2 linked regions of the Arabidopsis thaliana genome follow. The protein of the gene in region 1 purifies or fractionates together with the protein of each later gene. This does not show direct contact. Each region holds a gene or a part of one and is shown on either strand. Other genes may lie near its edges.

Evidence for each region.
Region 2: the proteins of VPS45 (region 1) and VTI1B purify together in Arabidopsis thaliana (affinity purification with western blotting, with the first as the bait; one study listed by BioGRID). This does not show direct contact.

What each region holds. Positions count from the first base shown.
Region 1 is NC_003070.9:28,982,107-28,988,655, forward strand, and holds VPS45 (vacuolar protein sorting 45), read left to right. Parts: upstream 1-1,827; 5' UTR 1,828-2,056; coding exon 2,057-2,146; intron 2,147-2,282; coding exon 2,283-2,484; intron 2,485-2,578; coding exon 2,579-2,658; intron 2,659-2,935; coding exon 2,936-3,163; intron 3,164-3,290; coding exon 3,291-3,416; intron 3,417-3,526; coding exon 3,527-3,610; intron 3,611-3,680; coding exon 3,681-3,822; intron 3,823-3,926; coding exon 3,927-4,105; intron 4,106-4,322; coding exon 4,323-4,478; intron 4,479-4,716; coding exon 4,717-4,824; intron 4,825-4,909; coding exon 4,910-5,031; intron 5,032-5,152; coding exon 5,153-5,284; intron 5,285-5,514; coding exon 5,515-5,575; 3' UTR 5,576-5,929; downstream 5,930-6,549. UniProt on the Arabidopsis thaliana protein: Involved in the protein transport to the vacuole, probably at the level of vesicle fusion at the trans-Golgi network (TGN) and not in transport from the TGN to the prevacuolar compartment, by promoting the recycling of vacuolar sorting receptors back to the TGN.
Region 2 is NC_003070.9:9,214,052-9,218,730, forward strand, and holds VTI1B (Vesicle transport v-SNARE family protein), read left to right. Parts: upstream 1-1,718; 5' UTR 1,719-2,051; coding exon 2,052-2,148; intron 2,149-2,808; coding exon 2,809-2,867; intron 2,868-2,956; coding exon 2,957-3,145; intron 3,146-3,321; coding exon 3,322-3,492; intron 3,493-3,589; coding exon 3,590-3,742; 3' UTR 3,743-3,959; downstream 3,960-4,679. Other genes in the region: AT1G26665 (Mediator complex, subunit Med10), read left to right, coding at 459-682, 772-852, 940-1,042, 1,126-1,215, 1,304-1,375. UniProt on the Arabidopsis thaliana protein: Together with either SYP41 or SYP61, required for membrane fusion; the fusion of phospholipid vesicles containing SYP41 or SYP61 and VTI12 is triggered by YKT61 and YKT62.

The sequences.
Region 1 (6,549 bases):
GAAGAGCGTACCGTCGTTTCCAGTTGTGGAGATTTCGGGGTACTCGAAGAGGAAATCCATGTTTCTGAGGATAAGCATGTCTGCATCAATGAAGATGATCTTGTTGTATTCTGTCAATTCCCAAAGACGGAATTTGCTGTAGTTCCATTGGTTATATGCATTTGCTTCAGCTTTCGGGTTTCTGATTCTTTGAAATGTGTGAATCTTCCATCCAGCTGATTCCAAGCCACTTCTATGGTATTCACTGATCGAATCATCGACTAGTATTACCAAATTGCGAGTAGAGCCTGACATTCGAATGCTCTGTGCTACTGCAATGGCTCCACAGACAAAAGCATCATCTGAGTGCAAGATCGTCGCGTACGCTTCTTTCTTGGCATTTGCCGAGTAGAAATTATCTGCAATTGAATCATAATCAGCTTAGGAGGAGAGAATAGAGATGTCAAATTTAGCTGATACAAAAGACGAAGAAACTTACTACTGAGTCACTGACCTTTAGCTTGAAGAGGAACAGAAAGTTCACAGGAACCAACAGGAAGTTGTAACTTTTGTCTTAACTGGTGAAGTTTAGGCTTATACAGCCATATGTTTCCTTGACGGGCAACAAGTTCTTGACCCGTAAAAAGATTCGGTATTGGAAAGCAATCTGATACCAAAATCACATGAACATCATGAAGCCCTTCAGAAGATGCCGCCACTCGAGCTGCTGCAAGTTGTAAGTGCAATCTAGCCACATCTCTTGACCATTTTCCTGACTTGTTACATGGGAGCTTGGCAATGATAAGATCGATTCGAGACTTGTCAGGAACTTGAATCCAAGGAAGAGAAGGACAAGTGGGGACTTTGAATTTTTCTTCCTCGTCAATCCATTCCGGGTATAAAGATTTCCAAGTTATGTTACTTGCAGCATGGTCTAGATGCAAAGCTATATGCTGACAGTGAGATTTTATGACCACCTGCCATCGATTAATCTCGTTATCGTTGAGATTTAGAAAGCCAATTCCTTGATACTCGCTTCTGCCAGATAAGTAATGCTCAACAACAAGTGACATACTGTTCCAGTTGATCTCAGATGTAGCTATATAGCGAGGATCTGTGGTTACAGCAGGTTCTAGTATCCATTTGTTTGCAAAACTTGATGGATCTTCAGGAATTTGCAACGGTGGAGAACAGTAGAGTGTGAACATAGCAACCAGCATCATAAGAAACAAAACAAGTTTCAGACTAGAGAAGTTGACACACATTTCAACATCGAGAGTGTATCCGTTTCTTTGGAATCTCTTCGTTTTTGTTTTCTCACTATATATGTAAAACAAATGCACTATGTCAAGCCAACAGATGAATACAGATCTCTGTAATGCACATACTCAACCACATTGCTCTCATGATCTATGATCCTATCTGATTCCCCTAAGTTAGGTAAAGTAGTTTCCATTGAACTCAAGAAACTGATGAAGTAGAAGAGAAAAAGACTTACCTGGAAATGTAAAGTCGATGACTTGACTGACTTGACGGCGCCATGGGACTTTCAGAAGAGAGCTTCATTCTCACTGTAAGAATATTAAGTTTGACTTTCCTGAGTGAGAGACTACATGAAGCTGGATGCATCGAGCATTACAATAATCACACGTTTTTGACGCTAATCCAAATTATATTATATTAGCGGACGGATCGGAACAAAATCAACACGATGGGTCAATGTTAAGTTTGAATTTTTTTGCGGAAAAATCCTGATCTATTAGATGTTTCCTTTGTAAAACCCTGATGTTTTATTACTTAATAAATAAACCCTCAAATTAGGTTCAGTTAATCAAAAATTAAGTTTGTGTTGAAAAGAGGAATAACCAATAAAATATAGGGTTTGTTTTGCAAAAACACTTTTCTTCGTATGAGTCGACGAGTCTGGGGACCTTTTAGTTTTCTCGATTAAGGAAAGGAAGATCTGAAAGTGAACGCGAAATCACTTCGCCAGCGTTATTGTTAACAAGAATCATCAGATTAGTCGCCGTAGATCTGAATCAACGTCGTAACAGTAGCAGAATTTTGCGGTGAAACGATGGTTTTGGTTACGTCTGTGCGTGATTACATTAACCGGATGCTTCAGGACATCTCCGGCATGAAGGTTCTCATACTCGACTCCGAAACGGTAAAGTCCGATCTCGTCTTCTTCGATTGCTAATCTTCTCTGATTTGTTTCTGGAATCGTGGTTCATAATTTCCCTTGTAACCGGAAACACATCTTCGTGATTACTTGTTTATTGGATTAATTGTTGAATTTGCAGGTTAGCAATGTAAGCATTGTGTATTCACAGTCAGAGCTGCTTCAGAAAGAAGTGTTTCTGGTGGAGATGATAGATTCAATATCTGTGTCAAAAGAATCGATGTCACATCTGAAAGCTGTTTATTTCATCCGTCCAACTTCAGATAATATTCAGAAATTACGATACCAGCTTGCGAATCCTAGATTTGGAGAATACCATTTATGTATGATTTTTTCATCTTCTAACTATTTCGAGTTTATCATTGTTCACTCACAATATACAAAATTTGATGTTGTTTTTGTTATGAATTCTTTCAGTTTTCTCCAATCTGTTGAAGGATACTCAGATTCATATTTTGGCTGATTCCGATGAGCAGGAAGTTGTACAGCAAGTTCAGGTGATTTTTAGACTTCCCTCATCCATGATGTTTTTGAATAGGAGGCTAATGCTAAAAGAATGTTTCATAGCCTATATGATGGATCAATATATGTATAGATTTTTAGCTGTCTCTGAGAAGTTGCTTGGTTTGTGATGAAACGGCCATACTTGTGGAGCTTAGTATCCCCCCTACCTGTCTTTAGTTTTCTGATTTAAACTTATATTGCTTGGTGCACTCGGCATAGTACTGTATAATGGCTTGTTTAACATAGTCTTTGTGGTTTTTTATATTGCAGGAGTATTATGCAGACTTTGTTTCTGGTGATCCATATCATTTCACATTGAATATGGCATCAAATCATCTATATATGATCCCCGCAGTTGTCGATCCCTCTGGTTTGCAACGCTTTTCCGATCGGGTTGTTGATGGAATTGCGGCAGTGTTTCTGGCGTTGAAACGAAGACCTGTCATCAGATATCAGAGGACCTCTGATACTGCAAAAAGGATTGCACACGAAACAGCTGTAAGTGAAGTTGTTTGACAAGCTCTCGTAAAGTTATTTGTTCCCGCTATATTTTGCATGCATGTGATGGAACTAATTCCCACTTGTGTCTATCCAATAGTCTGAAAATTCGCTGTTTATGTTTCAGAAATTGATGTATCAGCATGAAAGCGCTCTTTTTGACTTTAGACGGACTGAAAGCTCTCCGTTGCTACTTGTAATTGACAGAAGAGATGACCCGGTTACCCCATTGCTGAATCAGTGGACATATCAGGTAACTTGACTAAACAAAATTATTGTGCTACTCTATGATATAAGATGTGCCTCCCGCTGTCTTGCTTTTTTGTAAGACTACGACTTACTAATTAACGAGATTTTCTGTAGGCAATGGTGCACGAACTCATAGGACTTCAAGATAATAAAGTGGACTTGAAATCCATTGGAAGTCTTCCAAAAGATCAGCAAGTGGTTAGTTTTCTCCAATGCCATTGTTTTTTAGTTGAGAACCTTACAGCTAATATGTCTCTTATCCTGGCAGGAGGTGGTTTTATCATCAGAACAAGATGCATTTTTCAAATCTAACATGTATGAAAATTTTGGGGATATTGGAATGAACATCAAGCGAATGGTAGATGACTTTCAGCAGGTGGCCAAGAGTAACCAAAATATCCAGACAGTAGGTACAAATATGGCTAGTCTTAAACTATTCTCTGCAAAAACTTTTGTAACAACAGATTCTCGTGCTAGTGACAATTATATATCTGTGAATTCGTTGGTTGTACAGAGGATATGGCCAGATTTGTTGACAACTACCCTGAGTACAAAAAGATGCAAGGCAACGTTTCAAAGCATGTAACTCTGGTTACTGAAATGAGCAAGCTAGTTGAAGCAAGGAAACTGATGACGGTTTCACAAACAGAGCAGGACTTGGCTTGCAATGGTGGCCAAGGAGCTGCATATGAGGTAGTGAATATCTGTGGTGAACATTCACTTGTAGTCGCATATATTAAAAAATAGCTACAACCTGCAGAAGTTCTTACTGAATAATTTGGCATTCAATAATTTGGAGTCTCATGCGAATGTAATCCAGTGAACCTGCAGAAGTTAGCGAAATATGCAAAATTGTGCAGACTCTGCTGTAAGCACGGAGCTCTGACTCTCTATTCATGCTTATTTGCAGGCAGTTACGGATCTCTTAAATAATGAAAGTGTGTCTGACATCGACCGGCTGCGTTTGGTAATGCTATATGCTTTGCGCTATGAGAAAGAAAATCCTGTTCAGTTGATGCAATTGTTCAACAAATTGGCTTCACGGTCTCCCAAGTACAAACCAGGGGTACAGTCAGACTATCATCTGTTTCCTTTCAGTTTAAATTGCATCTCTTTCTTGTGGCTTTATTATTCTGCATCTCTTTTAAGGTTGATTTTGATCTGTCCCTCTGCTACTACTATACTTGTTAACCTATCTGCAATTCCGTCCATAGTAGTTTTACCTTTTCGTTTTTATTTTTGAATAACTTGATAAAAGTACCCTCAAATCATGTTATAACTTTCTGGTTGCCATGCAACTGCAGCTAGTTCAATTTCTCTTGAAACAAGCCGGTGTGGAGAAGCGCACTGGTGATCTATTTGGAAACAGAGATCTTTTGAATATAGCACGTAACATGGCTCGTGGACTTAAGGTCTGTATCTGAGTTAACTCGTCTCCAGCAACATTCTATATCTCCCTATATATATGTCATGTTACTGACATCTTGAAAAATACAGGGTGTTGAGAATGTCTACACTCAACATCAGCCTCTTCTGTTTCAAACAATGGAGAGCATAACTAGAGGGAGATTACGAGATGTGGATTACCCATTTGTTGGAGATCATTTTCAACAGGGACGGTATGTGCCTCTAATTTTTTCAATTTCTTAAAACAGGTAACTTGTTTGATAGTTACAGATTTCTGCAATTCGTGAAAACTTACATAACTAATCAAAAACTGCAAAATTTCTGGATAAACAGGCCACAAGAGGTGGTTATTTTTATGGTTGGTGGAACAACATACGAGGAATCACGCTCTGTTGCTCTACAGAATGCCACCAACTCCGGGGTTCGGTTTATTCTCGGCGGCACCGCAGTGCTTAATTCCAAGAGGTAATGCTGAGGTTAAGACAGTGTGTGCAAATGAGCCTCGATTGGTTTTGAGTTCTAGGTCGAAACAGCACTGATCAACTAAAATATCAACATTGGTTAAGTCATAGAAGGCCCAAACCGAAATTGCTGTTTGAATTAAATAATAACTAGGAATCTAAATTGGTCTACAAAGTTCATGAAAGTGTATTATAAGAGAAATGTAAGCTGAAAAGTGAATTTGGTTGTGACAGATTTCTAAAGGACTTGGAAGAAGCACAAAGGATATCAAGATCAGGTAGCCATATGGTGTGAAGAAGATCCAAAAGAATTTTGTGTAAATTATTTTTTAAGTCTTAAGATTCTTCCGGGGAGCACATAGAAGAAAGAGACAAATGAAAGAAGAAGATTGTGGTCAGGTTCGTCGAATCTTTCGTATACATGATGATGATTACCCCACCAGAGATTTAATTTTTGGGGTTTGTGTGTGTATTCATCGTGGTACAGTTTAATTGGACCGTTCTTCTTACACAATTATGGCTAATCAAGAAAATGTAACCTGAGGAAATTTTACTCCTCTATCATAATTGCACAAAACAGAATTAATAATCTTTTTCAAAATTATAATAACACTTTAGACAAAAACCAGAGAGATTTCATAACAAAAAATCTTTATTACTCTTAAAAAACAAAATCATATGTGGAATTTTTGAAATATTACTAGTTTACTACTCCCTTTTATAATAATGAATAAAATCACTTTTATAATAGTAAATTAGTAATGAGTAAAATCTGACTGACGTCAATCAAAAGTAAGTACCGATTTGGGAAAGAGAACAATCAAAGAGAAAACATAAAAACAGAGCTCTTTTGAGTATATATGGAGTATCTTATGTAGCTCGGCTACTGTCGCCGTTGGATTTCTCAAATGTCGTAATATGATGTGAGAGCGAAGCTGACACAACTCTCTGTCTCTGCTCTGGAAGCATTTTTACTTGTTGTTCTTTCACACATACACACTTCACAGAAACCCTCCATTACAACATAATAGTATATATTTACTATACATTCCAAAAAAATCATTAGGTTTACTTTTACATCCAAATTTCATACTTTTAACAAAGCGATTATGTGCAATTTAATCCTCTATCAAGTTGGATTTTGAGGGGTTAAAATTGTTTGAAGTCAACTAGCAAAAGTCTCATTCTTGAGAAATATTCGTCTTGCGGTAATTTTTGCTATAGTTTTATTAAAACGTCAAATCAGTAATAAAAACAATTAAAGAATTG
Region 2 (4,679 bases), about 20 Mb from region 1:
ATTAACAGTTTAACACAGCTGATGAAGAATGAAATAAAAGTATGAACGAAACAGATACAAGATAATGATATTCCACGTCAGCAAAGTGTCCAAATATCTTCCGCTTCCCTGTCTTCGTCGGTCCCTTTTCGGTTTTCACGGTAAGGCTCGGAGGAAAACCTAATTCGTCCGGAGAATCTCCACCTCACTCTCGCCAAACGCATCTCTGTTGTAGGTAAGTCACGGATCTTCATTCTACGCTAATTGTTATTGTTATCGTTATTCTTGATCTGGGCGTTTTTGTGGAATTTGCATCTAAAATTAGAAATTTGGATACCAAAATCCACTCCAATTGAATAAGGTTTCTGAAGAATTTTCGTTTGATTTTGAGATCGAAAATTGCGTTTTCTCGTTTTTGTTTTGTTATCGCTAACGCATCAGGTCATATATCTCAAGTTTATATTTTGTGGCAGCTTGTGATGGATCCAACACAGAACACAAGTGCAGGGATTGGTGGGAGCAATGGTACAATCAGATATCAAACCAATGATGGGACTTCAACTGTGACCGTTGCTGATGATTCAAAGGAGAATCTTTCCCAAGTCATAAACTCTATTGAGAAAACTTTAGGAGTCCTTCATCAGTTACACCTTACCGTCACTTCTTTCACACCCGCGTCTCAACTCCATCTCCTCCAGCGCCTGTAAGTAACTCCTCTACTCATCTGTGTTTATTGTTTTGGGTATTGTAACTATTGTTTGAATGAATATGTGTGTGTGTGTGTATTTGCAGTAACTCTCTTGTGATGGAGCTAGATAACATGACTAAGTTGTCTGAGAAATGCAACATTCAAATCCCCATGGAGGTTCTTAAGTGAGAAAACAAGTCCTTTTTGTTTTTAGTATGCACTTTGAAGATAGATACTTTTACTTGCTTACTTATGTTTGCGTTTTCGTATAGCTTGATTGATGATGGGAAGAACCCGGATGAGTTTACGAAAGATGTTCTTAATAGCTGCATAGCTAGAAATCAAGTTACTAAGGGCAAGACTGATGCTTTTAAGGTGACTCCTTTTCTTCTGATTCTTAATTTGTGTATGATTCTTAAGGTTACTGAGTCTCTTAATCAACATTTTGTTATAAATAGGATTTGAGAAAACATATTCTGGAGGAGCTTGAACAGAATTTCCCTGATGAAGTCGATATGTATAGAGAAATCCGTGCTAGTTCTGCTGCTGTAAGTTGTTAACTTCGACTAGTATTGTACATCTTCATTAATATATTATAGTAAGTCAAGGGGATTAAACAGTTTTGGTCATATTCAGGAAGCGAAACGGTTGGCGCAATCGCAAAGTGTGTTACCAAATGGGGATGCAAAGGTCAAGAATGAGCTATAAGAGCCCAAAGGATCCTTTTTATGTTTACCTTGTACTCTTGTAGAATATAATGACTGAGTCGATGAATGTGATGTAACACGAACAATCCCAAGTGGAATTTCTAATAATATCTGTTGGTTCTCTTCACCTGGCTAATATAGTTTGAGAATCTCTGCTTGTTCCCCCCATTTTTACTCGAGTGGACTATCTTACTCTTAGCCTCTGAGATCTCTTTGATTTCATGAGACTATCAAAGAATCCCACATAGTTACGCAAAACAGATTCGACTTCTATCAATGGATTTGTCTATTTCCTGGACGAGTAATCTTGGTTCTGCATAAAATGTACACTATTTCCGAGAGCTGAAAAAGTGAGAAAAGACACTTAGATTTCAATCTTAATTAACGGTTTGATTCGGTTTGGTTTGTCTCACCTACATTTGCATCGATTGCAGCATGGGGGACTTAATACGCAGTGGCTGACACGTGTCAATATAAAACGCACCGCTTTGTTTGATTGTTCCTCCTTGTCCCCGAGCAGAGAAATACAAAGGAAGAAGAAGAAGAGTTGTTTGATTATCTTTAAGCAAAGAGGAAACTGTTTTGCTTCTAGATCCGATCCAATCCAATCAAACAAAGGATCCGATTGATCAGAAAAAATCCACCAAATTTCTCAAGATCGAAACATATAATTGAAGATGAGCGACGTATTTGAAGGGTACGAGCGTCAATACTGCGAGCTCTCAACCAATCTCTCTAGAAAATGTCACTCTGCATCGGTTCTCTCCAACGGAGGTAAAATCCAGACGCTCCCGATTTCGGATCTTGAACGCGAGATCTTCGAATTTACCTGATTTTAGAAATTCGAATCTTCGAATTTGGGGTTATTGGAGCTTTTGAGCTGTGACAAGTAGCTGGTGGACTAGTGTTCTTTACTAATCGTCCTGACTTGTTTAGGATCTGACGAAGTTTTGTAACATTTAGGAATGTTGAGACATAGGATCTGTTTCTCATTGCTTGGATTAGAAGACGATAACCTAGTTAGGTCTAGATAGTTATGTAGTTGCATAGATTTATTAACTTGTTTCTCAATCTATTTCATCTAATTTTGTCCGAATTTGGGGGTATTTGTAAAGTAGAGGTGCATGAGTGTTTACTAATCGTTTTAGCTTGTTTACGATCTGACGAGTTCTGTAGTATCTGGGAATGTAATTTACTTGGATTGGTCAAGTAGTTTTGTGAAGAAATTAAGACTGAAGATAAGATCATAAGAACCTAGTTATGTAGCTGCAGAGGTTTATTGAGTTGGTGTTTTTTTTCATTTGTTTGTCAGTCTATGGTTACCACTGTCTTTCTTGGAGTTATAGTACATAGACATGCATGGAGTTGTTACATTTTGTGGTGCCATAGAACCAGAGTAGAGGTTTGATTAGATATTGTTGTGTGCTTTTATAGAGGAGAAGAAGGGGAAGATTGCTGAGATCAAGTCTGGAATAGACGAAGCTGATGTCTTGGTATTTGCATTTAACTTGCTTTAATGTTGTTACCGTTCTGTTCTTTCTTTTTTAAAATTAATATATATGCTTCTGTGGTTTTTTTGTAGATCCGGAAAATGGATCTTGAGGCAAGAAGTTTGCAGCCGAGTGCTAAAGCTGTGTGTCTTTCTAAACTAAGAGAGTATAAATCTGATCTGAACCAATTGAAGAAGGAATTCAAACGAGTCTCTTCCGCAGATGCTAAGCCGTCTTCCCGTGAAGAGTTGATGGAATCCGGAATGGCGGATCTGCATGCAGTAAGCTTCTAACTCCTAAATAGAAACTCTTGTTTTCTCATTATCTTAGTTGTCTTAATTGACTTGCATCAGTTAGGCTTCTTTGTCCTGAGGGGACCCTCCTTTATATTCATCTTCACACAAACTTTTAGATGGCAAAGACTTTGCTGTGATTTACATTATTGTCCATGTTCCAGGTATCTGCTGATCAAAGAGGAAGATTGGCAATGTCCGTGGAGAGGCTTGACCAATCAAGTGACAGAATCAGGGAGAGTAGAAGACTAATGCTGGAGACAGAAGAGGTTGGCATCTCAATTGTCCAAGATTTGAGTCAGCAACGCCAAACCCTCCTTCATGCGCACAACAAGGTACCGTCTACAATTGCTCGGTTTGGTATCTATCAGTGCCAATGATTTGTTTGAATTAGATCATTGAGAAGCTAACTTTTCTGATTTTGAATCACAGCTTCATGGTGTGGATGACGCCATTGACAAGAGCAAGAAGGTGTTGACGGCTATGTCAAGGAGAATGACTAGGAACAAATGGATCATTACATCGGTAATCGTGGCTCTCGTTCTCGCCATCATCTTGATCATCTCATACAAGCTTTCTCATTAATATACTCAAAAAACATTATTCATCGTGATTGTGTATATATATATGATGGTTGATTTACTTTGTAATGGCCCAAGTGGTTACTTGTATTTTTAAGTACGATGTTTGTATTGAAGTGGCAACACTTTTAACATTCATAAGGTTTCCCAAGTCTTTTCTTTTTTGTCTTTTTTTCCAAAAAAGTGGTACTATTTTATATAAAGCAGATGTTTCAAAAGTTACAACTGTGGAAACTTCCACTTACATCTCAAGTCCAACCTTTGAAAACTTACAACAATGTAATTCCAAAAAGAACAAACACTCCATTGCTCAAAACATAAGGTTTTCCAAGTCTTTACATGAGCCAAAGATCTATACTTATAATGTTTTAAGAAAACTAGGACACCTGACACATCCTTGCCGGACCAATCATCTTGCCGTGATCACCAGTCGCAGGCAGGAGACCCACTGTCACGTCAGAGCATGAAACAAAGGCCTCTCCTTCTATCTCTCTATTTAAAATAACATCAAACATTCACGACACCAAAAAATACACACAAGCCAAACATAACAAGTAAAACTATCCCCGAAACAAATAGTTTTATGCAGTCCCGGCCCGTCCATAACGCAGCTAGAGCATGTGTTTCTGTCGTGAATTATGTTTTCTATGATCTCAGCCCCTGTTATGTTTTAAACCACACGTTCTGGTCTTCAAACTCGTTAACCCATTCCACCCTATAAATCCCTTCTTCGTAAGCAGGGATAGATTGACGAGTGATTGAAAATAATCTTTAATGATCAAGAATTTCCTCCCATTCGCCGGAAATAATTCACTTAACCACCAAATGAAAGAGTTTTGAGATTAATTAATCTACTCTTTAAAATTTTAGGCATATACACTTGATTGATGTGATGACAAAATGATTTGAGTACTAATCAAGTACAATCACTACAAAAAAAA